Linked DNA regions of Daphnia pulex. The protein of the gene in region 2 interacts with the protein of the main gene of each other region in a pairwise test. Links are inferred from orthologs where the notes say so. Each region holds a gene or a part of one and is shown on either strand. Other genes may lie near its edges.

The links.
Region 1: the proteins of LIM and senescent cell antigen-like-containing domain protein 1 (region 2) and ras suppressor protein 1-like interact in a two-hybrid assay, tested with the Caenorhabditis elegans proteins (2 studies listed by BioGRID). The link is inferred for Daphnia pulex from reciprocal best matches to the Caenorhabditis elegans genes unc-97 and rsu-1.

What each region holds. Positions count from the first base shown.
Region 1 is NC_060024.1:9,497,488-9,505,399, reverse strand, and holds ras suppressor protein 1-like, read left to right. Parts: upstream 1-3,728; 5' UTR 3,729-3,895; coding exon 3,896-4,001; intron 4,002-4,055; coding exon 4,056-4,227; intron 4,228-4,290; coding exon 4,291-4,409; intron 4,410-4,478; coding exon 4,479-4,561; intron 4,562-4,627; coding exon 4,628-4,742; intron 4,743-4,815; coding exon 4,816-4,948; intron 4,949-5,103; coding exon of another isoform or gene 5,104-5,182; exon of another isoform or gene 5,183-5,206; intron 5,207-5,520; coding exon 5,521-5,608; 3' UTR 5,609-5,945; downstream 5,946-7,912. Other genes in the region: chromodomain-helicase-DNA-binding protein 1-like, read right to left, coding at 6,425-6,734, 6,800-6,988, 7,056-7,279, 7,350-7,539, 7,609-7,787, 7,860-7,912.
Region 2 is NC_060026.1:14,672,586-14,680,637, forward strand, and holds LIM and senescent cell antigen-like-containing domain protein 1, read right to left. Parts: upstream 4,969-8,052; 5' UTR 4,828-4,968; coding exon 4,538-4,827; intron 4,458-4,537; coding exon 4,353-4,457; intron 4,292-4,352; coding exon 4,179-4,291; intron 4,113-4,178; coding exon 3,920-4,112; intron 3,860-3,919; coding exon 3,718-3,859; intron 3,657-3,717; coding exon 3,540-3,656; intron 3,476-3,539; coding exon 3,334-3,475; intron 3,270-3,333; coding exon 3,064-3,269; 3' UTR 2,618-3,063; downstream 1-2,617. Other genes in the region: solute carrier family 41 member 1-like, read right to left, coding at 1-186, 249-408, 478-567, 630-686, 757-901, 970-1,149, 1,229-1,570; protein SAND-like, read left to right, coding at 5,646-6,029, 6,090-6,226, 6,290-6,487, 6,544-6,638, 6,704-6,852, 6,922-7,100, 7,175-7,295, 7,379-7,663 and 2 more. UniProt on the Caenorhabditis elegans protein: Component of an integrin containing attachment complex, which is required for muscle development and maintenance. Probably function in adherens junction.

The DNA.
Region 1 (7,912 bases), on a different chromosome or scaffold from region 2:
AAAACAGTTAAAACAGAAAAAAATCTAACGACGAACTCAACGAACAATACTAATGAAAAACACTGACTCAAGCAACTCATTGACAAAAATAAAAAATAATTCATAAAAAAACGCATTACATTTCTTTCATTCAAATGTTGTAGAAACTGTCAGAGTGGCCCAAGTATAAAATGAGGAATGTTCAAACAACAAGACAAGCAAGCTTGAAAACTTCGCTAAAACCAGTTTTAGCTAAGCATTGTTTTTCATTGCTGCTTGAGCTCCATAATTAAAACATCTTTATGTGTATACCCCCTCCTCAAGAGCTTACATTTTCAAACCATGCTACAGTTGAATAGAGCACAATGTGTCAGTTGATACTGTAATATAAAGTTAGAAGATGGATGTAATGTAGCAATCAACAATCAATGACTAATTTTTGGTCAGATGTGATGTAACTGATTTATGTCTTAAAAAACACAAACCTCCTGGCAGGTTTTATAAAAAGGAATATGAAAAACTAGAATATACTAGAAGATCGATTGGCACAGCAATGTAAATAAGGAAAGAAGCTGGTCCCAGTTGAGAGTATTACACTGAAACGAGTTACCCAGAAAAAGATGGCTAGAAAACGAAACACTTGGTGCAGTGGTAAAGTGATTCGAACTATATAGTGATACGCAAATCGACGATAATTATCTCAGCAGGAACGATCTGGGAACGAGACATTGAATCACTTTGTTGTGTAAGTCTTTGCTGGTCTTTCGGTTTGGGCGACAGTTAAAAATCAATTAGTACCAGTTAACACGCATTATTAGATTATTGCAAAAGTATACTCACATAGGACACCATAACTATAAGGGCTGACTCACTTTAAGCAAATTCGAAAATTGATTAATTGAATTCCAGACCAGACACAATGTTTGCGCGCACGGTTTTAACGGCAGCCATATTGTTTTTTTATTCTTTTGTTTAGATCATGTAGTGTTGCCAATTTTCTTAATCTAAACAGCTGATTTTTTTAATTAAGAAGAGGAGCGAAATCACTCAATCAGCGAATTTTATTTCTTCCTCTTTGAATTGTACTAAGTTTTGGTTATACAAATGAGGTGTTAAAAAATTAACACGACGACCTTGTCGCGTTTGATGAATCATGGTGATAAAAAAAGGTGAAGATGGTCTTATCCGCGTGTTGGCTCCTAGCTTCCTCCATAAAGGGGTACAGTGTTCGCTTTCATTCGAGCCAGGGTTGTGCAGACTAAAGATCATTACGTCGGTACCCAGTCATCTTTGAACCTGGAAACGCATCAGACAATTCTCAGATGAATGGGGAGACATGGAAACACATCATACAATCTCTCCGATTTCAATCACTTCCTTAGTCACCGTATAACCATCCTGTGGCGCCGTCAGTGGGTGTGAAAGCAACTAAAGATGCTCCCCCGGGGATTTGAACTCCCATCACAAGGTGCCCCGATCACCAAGCGACTCCTCATCCTATTCACCCACCCGTCCACTATAATTGTACACAAAGAAAAGGAAATCTTTTCAATTTTAGTAGATCAATTTGATCAATTTTTATCATGATCAACTTCAATTTTAGTTAAATGATCGCCAGACGTGGAATTTGGTGAAAAGTAAAAAGAGTAGCGAATTTTATTAAAAATCACGGTTCAACCCGTTCAACATTGTAGGCGACTTCGCGTGTATTCTGAACAGGGAATAAATTTGTTAATCGATTTTAAATAATGAATTAAACATTTTATTATAAAATAAATTGTATATTTTTTTAAAAGGCAAGCAAAGACTGAAATTCACGTCTGTAGTTCTGTACAATACAGTCATCAGTCAATATTTCAAGTCAAACATTAAATGGTGGGAAAGATGCACACAATCCATAGAGACAAGCTTGGCAGCGAATGGGATCGTGATGAACCGCCAGAGATTTTTCTCTGGGTTGACTGTGTCGAATACGAACAATATTGTAGATATCTTGTGCATTTCTTTGCTCACCGTAATAGGACGTGGAAACGTGGCTAGCCAGAAACCTAATGGCATTTTCTATTTCTTCAGGGTACCAAAGTGGAGTCAGAAATTCAGACTAAATAAAAACAAACGAAATTAATTGACCGAAAAACAGAGGAGGAAACTAATTATTACCTCATCGAACGAGTCTGGCTGGTTGCAGATGCTACATTTTTGACCAATAATTTGAACAACGCTTCACACAGGACCTGGTCGCCTTGGCGACGGATCGGAACCAAAATGAGACCTACCCCTTCATCGACGTCCATCCTCTAGTGCACTATAACGACAATTTTAATCAAGATTACAAAACGCCCAGTTCAAAAGATTAGAAGAAAATGGAATTACCTTGCACTGGAACCGAACTTTGGCAGAGAAGGAAGTTGAATGCCACGGCCACTCGACGGATAGCGGAGGAAGTTCTGTGGGTTCCAATGTCCACAGATGTCCGTGTGCGGCTACAAACGGGTGAAAGAACCAGCAAAATGCGCTCTGTCAAAATGTCTCCAATCCACTGTAACATTTTCAAAATGCCAATAAGAAAATGGAAGCGAAGTAGATAATACGTCGAAGATTTATACTAAGTAAATTCATACTAGTTACTAGGGCATCGCATTCCTTCCCGGAAGAGGAACTGGCGGCGTGGACGGCGGAGGCAACGACCATTTGATGAGACGGTGATTAGCTTGAACTTGGTTGACTTGATGATGGGAAGATTTGTCTTTGCTGCTGGAATAACACGGAAATTGAATGGGTAGGGAACCAGCTCTACACTGTCCAGTGGAAGAAAAATTCCGATGACTTGATGAGGGAACACACCGCGACACTGACACTGGACTTTCGCTTCCTTTCGCATGGGCTCCATAAGAATTGCTTTTAAAAAAAGTTATCGCATCAAGAAAAACTAAAAAAGTAGAAAAAAAAAACTTTATGTTGCCTAATAAATTTTAAAATGTTATTTTGTTTCAGATAGCTCAGTTGGAATAAACGTTTCGTCGCCAGAAGAAGATAACACACGTTGTCTGGTCAAACGGTAAAATGTGCAACTAATTACATTGATAATATTAACGTCCGTGTATCCCGTCGGTAGCTCAGTTGGCAGAGCGGTGGACTGTAGATTCGTTTCATTCGTGAAAAAACAAGTTATCCATAGGTCGCTGGTTCAATTCCGGCCCGACGGAATCTATTTTGATGTCAATTCCTTTTAACGCAGATCAAAAGAAACGCAACAACGCGATTTTTTTATTGCGCTTCAATTCAGAATTATTCCGCTGAAATAAAAAATTATTAATTGTTGTTATTCGGTACTATCGGAATATGAAACTTACTTCGTTATTTGTAATAAAGAGAAAGGGAGGAGGCAGGAAAAATAGTCTTTGAGGGGAATGGGTGGCCACCAGCAGCAGGTAAATAGGACAACTGTAGTCAGAGTCAGAGAGTAGCAGCATTTACAAAAATTGAAGTAGGTCATAGAAGAGAATCATTATGATAGAATCTGAAACAGTTCAACGTGCGCATGGACTTACAAGTTTAACTATGCATATTGCATTTGTACTATATAAATAGCTTAGAATCCTTAAATAGACTAAAGTCAAAACGATACTTATTTTTTTTTTTTTTTGTCTTGCCAATAACGGTTCTTTTTTTTTCTTTAGATCGGTTGATTCATTGGTGGGAAGTTTCCATATTCCGCATTTTACCATTTCCGTCTGCTAGCAAAAACACTGGTCTGTCTTTTATCTCCTTTTTTGGTTGTTGTTTGGGGCTTTGGGCGTGTGAATGCACTAGATTGCTCGGATCGAAAAAGTTGACAAACCTTGCAATATTGTCTACATTCTTAAAACTTTGTAGTTATTATTATCATCTCTAGCCAAAGTTAATAATATTCAAAATGTCTAAAGTGAGAAAAATCATAGATGAAGCCAAAGAATCCAAGAATCCTGAGCTGGATTTGGTGGACAAGGGTATTTCTTCTTTTGACGAAATACCGAGTCTCCGTAAGTCGTTGTTTTCTTTATTATAGTGATACTTGACTAAACCTTATTTTATAGTTACCATGCTCAACTTGACCCGGATTACACTGACGCACAACAGAATATCAGTTGTAACCCCAGCTTTGGCCAACTTGACAAATCTTGAAATCCTGAACTTGTTTAATAATCAAGTTGAAGAACTCCCAACATCTTTGTCTTCCATGCCAAAACTTCGGATTTTAAACTTAGGGTAATATTTCAACCCGTTTGTTTATTGAAGATGTTGTTTTGAAATAAAGACATTGATTTATAGAATGAACAAGCTGAGCGCTCTTCCTCGAGGGTTTGGAGCCTTTCCTGTACTAGAGGTTTTAGATTTAACTTACAACAACTTGAATGAAAGTAGTTTACCTGGCAACTTCTTTATGATTGGTATTTTTTAAATTCATTTTGGAAAATCAAACTTTGTATTTCTAATTTATTGCTTGTTTTTTAAAATAGAAACACTCAGAGCCCTGTACTTGGGTGATAATGATTTTGAACGAATCCCACCCGAGATTGGCCATCTGAAAAATCTTCAAATTGTTAGTATTGCAAAGCAAAGTAAATAATCTCTTGTAATTAATTTACACATTTTTATAATTCTGCAGCTTGTTCTTCGAGATAATGATTTAGTTGAGCTCCCTAAAGAAATTGGTGAATTGGCCAGGCTGAGAGAATTGCATATTCAAGGCAATCGGTTGTCAGTTTTGCCCCCTGAATTAGGTTTGAAATTTAATACTGTAAAAAGAACGACAACAACAAAAGAATCCCCAGTTAACTTTATATTTGTTTATAGGTAACTTGGATCTCACCAGTAACAAATCCGTGATTAGAATGGAAAACAATCCATGGGTGGCACCAATTGCAGATCAGTTGCAAGTTGGTCTATCTCACGTAATTGATTATCTTCGATCAGAAACGTATAAATTGTGAGTACTAGTAATTAAACATTCAATTTTAAGTGGTAGTTTTGAGAAAACGATTTTCGGCTTGTACTATGTTGCTGGTTGTTACCCAGCTGTTGATCTTGGTTCAAAATCCATCTGTGATGCAACATTGAACGTTTTACTATTGGGGTTTTTAGTGTTCATGGTCGGCACGCTGTGACTCAAGCCCCGAATCGCGTTTCAGAAAAGCGAGACCGAAGCGTTTCAATCGATTAAGAAACGAAGAACTTCTTGTTGAAGGCATTATTTTATACTACACTTCTTATCTCTAACTGCCTGCACTAGAGATTTTTAAAACATGCAAAAAAAAGCTTGCTTTCATTTTTTTATATTTTAGTCAATCGCTGCCCATTCTGATAATTTGAGAGATATGAAATAGTGGCTAGAGCGATTTATAATGCTCGTTTATATTTGTTTGTCATTCGTCCTCGTGAATCACAAAGAACTTTAGTGCCGCACAAACCAAACTGACTTGCCGTTTGAATGCTTGTGGTGCTGAACGTAACCCTAAAATTACTGTTTTTATTCTGTATTAATTTCATTCTTTTTTTCAGTGTCTACGGACGTCATATTTCGGCCAATGCTCCCGCCCCTGCCCGACTCACAGAGAGAACAAAGAAGAGCTCCAAACCTAAACCATAATTCATGGAATTTTTTCAGTAGTATAGCTTCTATGGCTCTGTTTCATCAATTTTCTGATTTTCTTGTTCAAACCGAACATTGATTTTCAGAACAGATAATCCAAATTAATCATTACATTCTTCGCCTTGTTATCAAATGTGCCAACTGCTGCCTTCCGTTCTTTGAATGGACATTTCTTCTAATCATGTAATATTTTTTCTTTACGAACTAACGTTGTCTTCCAACTTTTTTCGCGTTTTCTCGTCCGTTGTTCTTCTACTAGCGCAGATTTATTGAACATGCATACATTGGGTGTTGAATTTAACGAAGTAGTAGGAGAAATAAATAAAGCAATCAACCAGCCCATTTTTAACAACACAAAATGTATTCGTTCTTCTTTATGTACAGGCATGTCCATAAAACATTTATTTTTCTTTACAATGTATAAGTGGGGCGCGACCGTAACTTCAAACGAGCACAACTCTGTTATCTTTTCCTTTTCCTACAAGGTACAAAAAGGAAACACGGTACATGACACACACATAATATGTCCGACGTTTAAAAAAAATTTCCAAAAGTGACAAAAAAAAACATAATTTTTGAAGATAGTAAACGTGGTGTTGGCAGCCAATTGAAAGCACATCCCAAAACATTTATAGTGCGTGATACGGTCCAATACAAATAGGATTTCTATTATTCGTGACTTTATATCGCGCATCCTGAAACCAAAAGGCAATTTCGAATCCCCATGAGAGTCGATGAGATTAGCTCATTAACTGCTAAAAGAGGAACGGATGAGAAAGAGAGGGACAACAAGTACACTTGCGCAAAAGATGTTCAAGATCCGTTTGGAGGTGGGAGAGGGGGGCGACGATCTGCGAACTCGCGGCGGTATTCTCGATCTTTATTCCCACGCCAATCCGCATAGCCACTACCTTGCATCCCACGAGCATGATTGGGCGGAGGCTCAAAGTCACCGTAATGAGAACCGCTATGAGAACCACCAGCAGGTCCGTGTCCGTAACCCCTTTTATCTATAGCTGGCGGTCGGTAATCACGTTCTCTGTGATCCCGCGGATCTCGATCCGAACGAGCAAATCCGGAAGCTCCTACTCCAGCGGCATGCTGACGACCATATCCGTCTCGCCTATGATAAACAGTTAATAATCAGAATATGCCATACTATTCAATCCAATTTCAATGGTAACAAACCTTTCACTGGCGTATCTTTCGTCACGAGGAACTCCCATCCAACGCTCCCGATCCCTATCCCGATCTCTGTCGACATGTGGATTGTAATTTGTGGCTCCCAGAGGTGGTGGCGGTGGACGACTGTAAGCACCACCAGCAGGAAGTCGATCCCTCTCTCGATCTCGCCCTCTTTCTCTATCACGATCTCGACTGTCAACAATCATGATAACATATCAATTTCAGAGCCAAAGAAAGATATCGATTTTGCGAAGCTTACCGGTCTCGATCACGCTCACATTCGGATGGGAATTGTTCTCTCCTCTCCGTTGGAGAAGGAGTTGGCCCTCTACCTCGATCACGTTCGTAGTCATTGGCTTTGTCAACCCAGCTATCGACTATAGTCGCACCATTATATGGTCTTTTGTTTGGTAAATGTTGCTGCTGAGCCTCTTCCGGCTCATGACGACGTTTAGTTGGAATGTTGTAACTCGAGGAACGATTCTATTTATTAAAAAAAAACAATCACAAGATTAATGGAAACGTTCTTCTTAACAAATAATAAGCAAACTACCTCTTCTTTGACTTTAGGCGTCTTTTCCTTGTTTTTGTCCTTACTCCGCCCTTCTTTGTCTTTAATCTTGGCAGAACTTTTCTCGCCATCTTCGTTTCCTTTACCCTGCTTCTTGATGGCATTACGATACAGCTTAAACAATTTTTTGGCGTCGAATTCAGTGAATTTGGATACAAAGTACCAAAGGTTGCTACGGAAAAAACGAAACGAAAATTATTAATTTAAATCCAACACCCCATGTCAACTCTGCTTCATTTACTTGCGCCAAACTCTGTTACGTTCGGGGTCAGGTATGGCGGCCAGGCACTTGTCAATGTGTTCGCCAATGTGTAAAAGGCACTGCTGAGTATGCTGAATCTGTTCCGTTTCAGACATACTCTGGGGAGGGTTGTCCAGCGCCTTCAAAGACTTTTTCACGGGTCTCATCTTTTCTTTGCACTGGTGAAAGCAAATTCAAATTTACAATTAGTTTTACTCACGGCCAACAACCTGAAACTCAAAATTAATTACCTCGTTGAATATGGATGGATCTAATTCACCAATAATTTCAACAGCCCGAGGAA
Region 2 (8,052 bases):
CTTACAACTCTGTCGCTCGCACTATTGACCGGAAATTCTCCGGGTCGTCCACGTTTATGAAGCCAAGTTGATAACTTGCTGGCTTGAACGGCAACCAAATTACCACCGACCCCGTTAATAACAGGTTGAAACACGGCTATTCCATTGTAAGCCTTAACTGTACAGTCCAATATTATTCCGCCCATACTGGTAACATAAAACAGAAGCTATATTTGATGAACATAAGGCGTATGATTTGTAACTCTCACCTGCTGATTGTCATGGCGGCAAGTACGGGAGACCACCCGGAAGACAAAACTTCGCGAGTTAATGAGTTGGAAGAGGCAACACAAACCAACCATGGCAGCAAGGCGATGAAGGCACATAGAATGCAAGGAGATATCCACCAAAGACCAGCTTCAACGTTTGCTAAACAAAACATCAGAGCTCCGTTAATTCATTCAGTCACACCATTAACTATATTCACAGAAAAATTACTGATTGCATTGAAGAGCCAAGTAGAAATTGCTGCAAGAAGCCCTAAAGTGGTCAAATCTCCTAGCGAGGCTGCAATTGGGGTCGCTACATCTGAGAAGAAATAGGTTTTTTTTCAATAAGAAAATAAATAATAAATGAATATAATTTCTTACTGTCCGGATTAATTTTGTAACGATGAGAAATAATTATCACAACCACCATAATAATACCTAAATGAATTTGGAAAGGAAAACTTAAGTATCGCAATTGCAAAAATTGTTTATCTCAATATTGCTGTACCGAGAACAAAACTTGCAAAGGAGGCAGTAAGTACAGCGCTTGCGCTAATGAGCAATGCATGATAAATGTCAAATGTGCCTTCGGGAATCCAACCCATGATAACCGCAGCTATTGATGCGAGAAAGCCCACGACAATTGCCTGACACTAGAAGAGGTTTGGGACAAATCTTCAAAGGTCTTCCTGGAATTAGGATTTAGACAAACTGTACATACCTGTATCAATGCTAAATTGCTTTTGATTAAACTCCAGCGCTGATCTGGCGAATCCATTAGGCCAAGATTCGCTAGAGTAGACAGCCTAGAAGCCAATGTCATTTCAAGATTGCCTTTGAGCCCCAATAAAGCTGGCACCAAAATGAAAAGCTCAGTTACCACTTGGAAGACATTCCAATGCTGGAAATAAAATACATGTTTTTGTAATAAAATCTGTTCATAAAAAATGAAAAATGATATCAAATGTTCCTTTTCTTACCTGAACGATATCAAGCACAATCCCAGCTCCCACCATCCCTAATCCAGCAATGAGAAATGGAAAGAATACTTGAAAGGCAAGTAGCCAGAAGCCTTCTTCAATTTCTTCAACAACATCATCATTGATAGCCTTTGGTGATGATGTCTTCAGCATGACTTCACATTCCCCTTCTTCACTATTTTCCCAATCATCATCTTTGTTAGTATCAGATGTAGGAATTTGTTCAATCATTTCAATGACTTCACAATTGTTGTCCTCTGTCTGGGGACCCATTTTCTTTCCTACAATTCTTTTTCTAAGATTGTTAGATGATTTGAATTTCACATTAGGGAAAGAATTCATAATGGCTAAGCCTTCAAATTTGCAGCCTGTAAATTAAAAATATATCAATTACAAGTTCAAACTGAGAAATATTATGAAAAACATACTACAAGTACAGAAGGCATGATGAATATTGAGAGATTCATAATCACAGTTGTCAGGTACATGACTATTATGCTGATATAAATCTATGGGGTATCAAAATGTTCACACAGCACCTTAGCAAGGACAGGCTAAAGCAATAACAAGGAAGACTATAATAAGCAAAAGGATTTTACATTGTGCGTCACTGAAACGAAAAGACAAACAAATTCGACCTTAGAAAAAGAGCTCTGTAACACAAACCGTTATATACAATTTTAAGAGATCGCGGAAATTCTAAGAGCTGAGCTTAATTACTAACTGCAGTTTATAACTACTGATACAAAGTGAACAATACGGGAGCGGGAGAACGAAACGTGACATAGAACGAACGAACACAATCGAACACAGACATCTGTCACTTTCTCACAAGACGTGGCAAAAATAGCAGACGGCACGGCCTACACCTTTTTACGGGGTGCGTTCATAAGTCGTCGTACTTTGTTCACAAATGATTTCCAAAAAAAAAGGTCACCAAAATCGCCAAAGGCTATTAGCTATTAGCTCACCCTACAACAGAATGGAGATTTTTACATTTTTGTCCAAATTCTCCAAAGATCAATTCTCGACAACGAATTTGATTATTTCTCTATTTTCTAACAAGACAAACTTGAATTAATAAATTATAAAGAGCCGGGTTAACTGATCTCATATCATCAGTGCATATTTCAAAAGTAATATCTTCTTATGAGTTTTCATGTCATTTTCAATTTAACTTTATCTCCGTTGCGTCGGCAGCGGCATTAACTTAAAATTTAATCAATATCGAAATTTAGTTATTACATGACTATTTTGAGCGCCTTCTCTTTTGTGACCTATCATGATTGTGGATCTTATCATTTAGGTAAATGTCTGTCTTAGCATCTTGAACAACAGATTTTTCCCATTCATGACCTGTGAACGCATTGATAAAATTGTAAACGCTACTGTGAGATTATTAGTTTATTACATGTTTAAAAATCATTATTCGGAAGACACGTCAGCAGTTGTTAAGATATTTTGTTGTTTTTTGTGAACTTGAAAGTGATTTCAATGAGGGAAACATTTTAAAAGTGTGACTGTAGCTTACAGAAATAAGCGAGAAGTGAAGTAAAAAAACACGAAAATCCTGTAGAATTTAAATATGAATAATTCTTGTACTTACTCTAATCGGCAGACGTAAAGTCATTAATCGCTTAACTTGTAATTAAAAAGTTTGTGGTCTTATCTTTGATACAGTAAAAGCAAGGCACCTTGTGAAGGAAAAAGAATTTTAAAATTCAGCATATTTATCAATTTAGTAATTTACTAGGAGTAAGAATATTAAAAGGTAAACAAGAGCCGGAAAAAAAAACGAATCCAATTATGTTGATTCGTTACTTATTTTTCCCATACTAATTCGCTGCAGAGCTTTTCCTCGGGCTAGTCTCGTAAGCTTTCTTCAAACGCTTCCGAAGTTCAGCCGGAAATTTATCGAAACATTTTTTACAAGTCGGTTTCAAGTCGAATTCGTAGAACTTGGTTTTCTGCGACATTTTTGTGTCACAAACCGAACAAGCGAAATGGTGAACACACCAGGCTTTGTTCAATGCGGTAAACACTGAAAAGAAAAGCCAATCAAGGTGTTAATGTCTTAAAAGAAGAACATGTATAAAATGCTTTACCATCTCCTCCAATAACTTGATTGCAAACGAAGCAAAGATTGCCGAAAAGCTGATGATAATGGGTTTCGCAATAGGCAAGACCCTTCTTCTCATAATGGCGATTACCCAAGAACGGTTTCTCGCATTTGGCGCATACGAAATGCTACAAATCAATCCATTGTAATAGGTAAATTTAATCCCTGTGATGATTTCATTAAGTTTTATACCTCAACATGAAAATGCTTTCCTAACGCCGTAACGACACGCTCTTCAATTGGACGACGGCAAGCACCACAAATTGGAATACCCATTTTGTCGTGGCATCTCAAGCAATACAACTCGTTCTGTGTAAATTTTAAACAATTGTCACAAAGATATTAAATGTTAAAAAATAATGTGAAATACCATCTCATTAGCGGTGAAACCTGGTCTGCTTTTAACTTCACGTGCGTCCGCGTTGAGTTCGATTCCGCAAGACGAACAGTTGAAATGATAAGGATGATAGACTTCGCCACGGAAACGTAGCGGACGATCATCAATCATAGAGCTAAATAAAAATAATGATCCTTAGATTCCGATGAAATTTTCAACTATACACAGCACTTACTGGCACTTATGGCAGACATGTTTTCCCAAGCTGGCGGCTTTTGCTCGAGCGTTACAATCGTGGCAGAGTGCCTTATTCTGGTGACGAATGAACCCCTGGTCGGCTAGTTCTTTGTCACACATCTCGCAGAGGAAGCACTTGGGATGCCAATTGGCATTCATTGCTTTAATAACACGACCGATGATAAATTCACCTAAGAATACAAAAAATGCGTTATTATTTAAAAATCTATGAATTAGTCAATCGATTTAACGCTTACCACAGCGACCGCAACAAGGAGCAAAGAGCATCTGAAAATCATGCTCACAATACTTGCGACCCTCAAACTCGTAAAAAATTCCTTCTGGAAAGGAGCGAAAGCATTGAGCGCACCTGTGAAAGATTAAGAAATTAGAATTCAATTTCAAGTAAAAATGTTGGTGTGAGTACTTACACAAAGCACTGGGGATGCCACAGCTCTCCATTTGTATTGACAATCTTTTCATGAGGCTCAAAACCATAATCACACCTCACACATTGGGTGTTCTTGTACATATCGCTTTAAAGTTCAAACCATTATTAGTTTCTTGAAATTCAGAATGTGTGAAATCTACTATACTAACTGTTAAACCACAATACCTATCAATATTACTAGGTTTAAGGTTTCTAGAAGGAAGTTTAGGAGGGCTGTTAGCATAAGTATTTTTTAAAATGTAAGTTTGAACTGAATTCAAGCTAGGTATCTGAGGAAGTGGTTGATTTTGAATTCCCTTCGGAACATCATTAGATGTAAGGTCTTCAAGCAAACCCTCAAGTTCATTTACTTCACTTGCACTTGCACTTGGTTTCATCTTATCCTCCATTCTTCTAAGGTAAAGGTTACTATTTTCAAAGGGTTTAAGAACAAGAATGTTAGGTCTTTTTGCCATGGTGAAAAATGGAGTTTCTTCAGTGAACACAACCGAAATGTCCAGCAATTTATGGGGTGAAGAACGGCAATTGATAACTAAATGTGTTATCTCATGTGTGGCCACTTCAAGAGCTTATTAATATCAGTAATAGTATTTATCTTATCAATAGCTTACCCAGGCGGCATTTGAAATGAACACAACGATAAAATAAACTCAATAACTATAAGAACTTCAACAGATTGTAGAGACCTGTGGACGAAATCGGGTGCTAACACCAACACAAACCGCGCCCGTTCAGAGATCAGCCCAAATAAGGAGATAATTTTGTGAAAAAAGTGAAAGGGACTAAAATGCGGGAAAAAAGCTAAGAGAAACGCAAAAATACTATGTGCTAAAATTGATAAAATTCCTTGTAAAAAAATTAACATTTGGTTCTCGCATTTTTTAAAATTTACCTTAATTCGGATTGAGCCCCGACGAATTTCGAAATCGTTGTTTTAGACATTTCCCTTCTTTTTCTTTATCATTTTACCGCATCTTCTAAATCCACGATTTACTGCATCCGGTCCGTATTATAATGTTTTGATTGACTTGTAGAGCCATCTGGTGGTCATTCAACGAACTCGATTAATTAATTGTTGTCTTTTCGATATCAGTATATAAAAAGCACACCATTACCTTTGTAAAATTAATTTTCTCTGCATTTGTGACGTTTTTCAATTATCGGAACTTCAACCCATTTTATTGTGACATCTGACATTAAACGCCGCCCTCTGTACACGCCCCTTCAAAACACGCCGCCAGGTGATGTAAGAAGCATAATTTTGATAGTAAACATGGCTTCAGAAGTAGTAGATTGCGAAATTATTGTTTCGAATTCGGTTAACAATTTTGATGCAGCTACTAGCTCCAGTCATGGAATTCTTGACAGCAGTGATCCATATGAAAGTCTAAATAATTTAAGCGGTACCAGAACAAATAGTGATTCCAATGATGTGAGCTTAAACATACAACCTCCTGCAGACCCCGGTTGTACTGATGGTTTTCAGAACGGTGATGTCGGATTATTAGAAATTGCCGTTGAAGCTCAACCTGATTTGATTTTTGAATCAGATCTTGTCTCCAATAACCAAGACCAACAATTTGTACGGCCCAGGGTCTACTTAGAACGAGAGTCTTTCAGCAATCAAAATGAGGATTCCATATCACGTACAACCAATGTGAGATTTACTGAGTAATAATCTCCCCTCAAGATTTGTTAAAAAGCATTAATGAATCAGGCTTCATCAATCTTGGAAGAAAATTCCCTGCCAGCTGCTGCTGGTGATGAAGAGAGTGGATCAGACTCCTTGCTGTGGAAAAATCAAAAGAAACATTTCTTTGTCTTGAGTGAAGCAGGAAAACCCATCTACACAAGGTTGGGTTTGAATTAGCTATTTGTCATTTTTTATAATTAATTGTTTTCCTTTTTAAATTACAGACATGGAAATGAGGAGCAGCTTGTTACCTTATTTGGAGTGATGCAGGCACTTGTTTCATTTGTGGAAGATGGGGAAGACTCCATGGATATGATTTTGGCTGGTGATACCAAATTTGTTTTTCTACACAAAACACCTCTTATTTTGGTAGCTGTTTCGAAATTACGAGATAGTGTACTTCAGTTACAGCTGCAATTAGAGTAATGCAATTATAAATTTTTTAGTTAGTTTCAAATCTAAATTGCTGCCTTTTTAGGTATATCTTCAATCAAATCTCTAGCGTTATTACTCGAGCACACCTTGAAAAAATCTTTGAGCAGAGGCGAAATTACGATCTTCGGAGGCTTTTAGGTATGCCTTGACTTCTTAGTAATCGAGTTAAAATCTTTCCTTTATATAATTATTTGTTTTTTTAGCTGGTTCCGAACGACTCATGGATAATTTGGTCAACTACATGGACACCGATTTTTCCGTTCTACTTGGTGCAGTCAAATGCCTACCGATGCCTTCTTGTGACCGAGATGCGGTCACGCAAACTATCCATCAACAATGTAGCAAAATTAAGGTGTCTTTACAGTTAGAATTCAAATGCTCACGTCTCGGGTGACTAAACATTTTCTTTCCGTTTTTACAGGGCTTAGTCTTCACTGTGTTGATTGGTAACAATCAGTTGATCAGTTTGGTGCGTGTTAACAAAAAGCACCTGCTTCATCCCTCTGATGTACATCTAATCATCAATCTAGTAAACTCATCCGAAACATTTAAAACGGCTGAAGGTTGGACCCCCATATGCCTTCCACATTACGATCCGAGGTCTGGCCCTTATCCATTACAAAACTGCAAAATCAGACATTTTTATTTGTTAATTTTTTATTTTCTCGAATTAGAGCGTTTTTGTACGTTCATGCGTCATACCTGAGTGAAGATTGTCAAGCGTGCCTGCTCTTTTTTACTACCGATCGTGATTCTTTTTTCAGTCTTTCCGATGCCAAAAAGAATATCGTCGATGTAAATTTTTTTTTTTTTTTTTTTTTTTTTTTTTCAGTTTCTTGGCTGCTTAATCTAATCGATATTTTGGTTCCTTTGTCCAGAGACTACGACGCCACAATAACATTCTCGAATCGATCACTCTGGCTTTACATTCGATCTGCCCTATCCTTAGTCAAGTGGGCTGTTCGGATATCCGACATTTTGTGTACAAGTCAAGATTGTCTGCTCAGTACACTTATTCTAATAATGGTCCGCCTTATCAACATGAACAAGGGCAGCTCTATTTAATGGATCTCTACCGACATGTTCACGGTCGCATGCATTCTCCATCACGCCCATTGAAAATGATGTGTCACACTGCTGAAAAAGAGATACTTTTTGGCTTGGTAAGTTGTTTCAAAATAAAATGGCTCACCTTTTTTAGATTTACTTACTAATAATATGATTTATCTTCAATATCTTATCAGGTTACTCCTACTTATGAACTATATATGGTCGTAGAGCCGATGACGACAAAAGCGGCAATAATGAACGCGGCCAATGCTATACTTAAGGTAATTGAATGGCTCCGATGTACTGAATCCACATTTATAGGTTGATTGTTATTATGTTCCCCTTTAGTGGAGTAAGCGTGAAGAAGAAATCCACTTCATCACTACTTCAGGAAGTTGGTAAAGTACCGAATGCAGCCTTCCTTTACATTCACCTTCGTTTTTCATGCATCATGATATATTTAGACTTCCAGATTTATCTGTTATGGTTGTGTTAATATTCA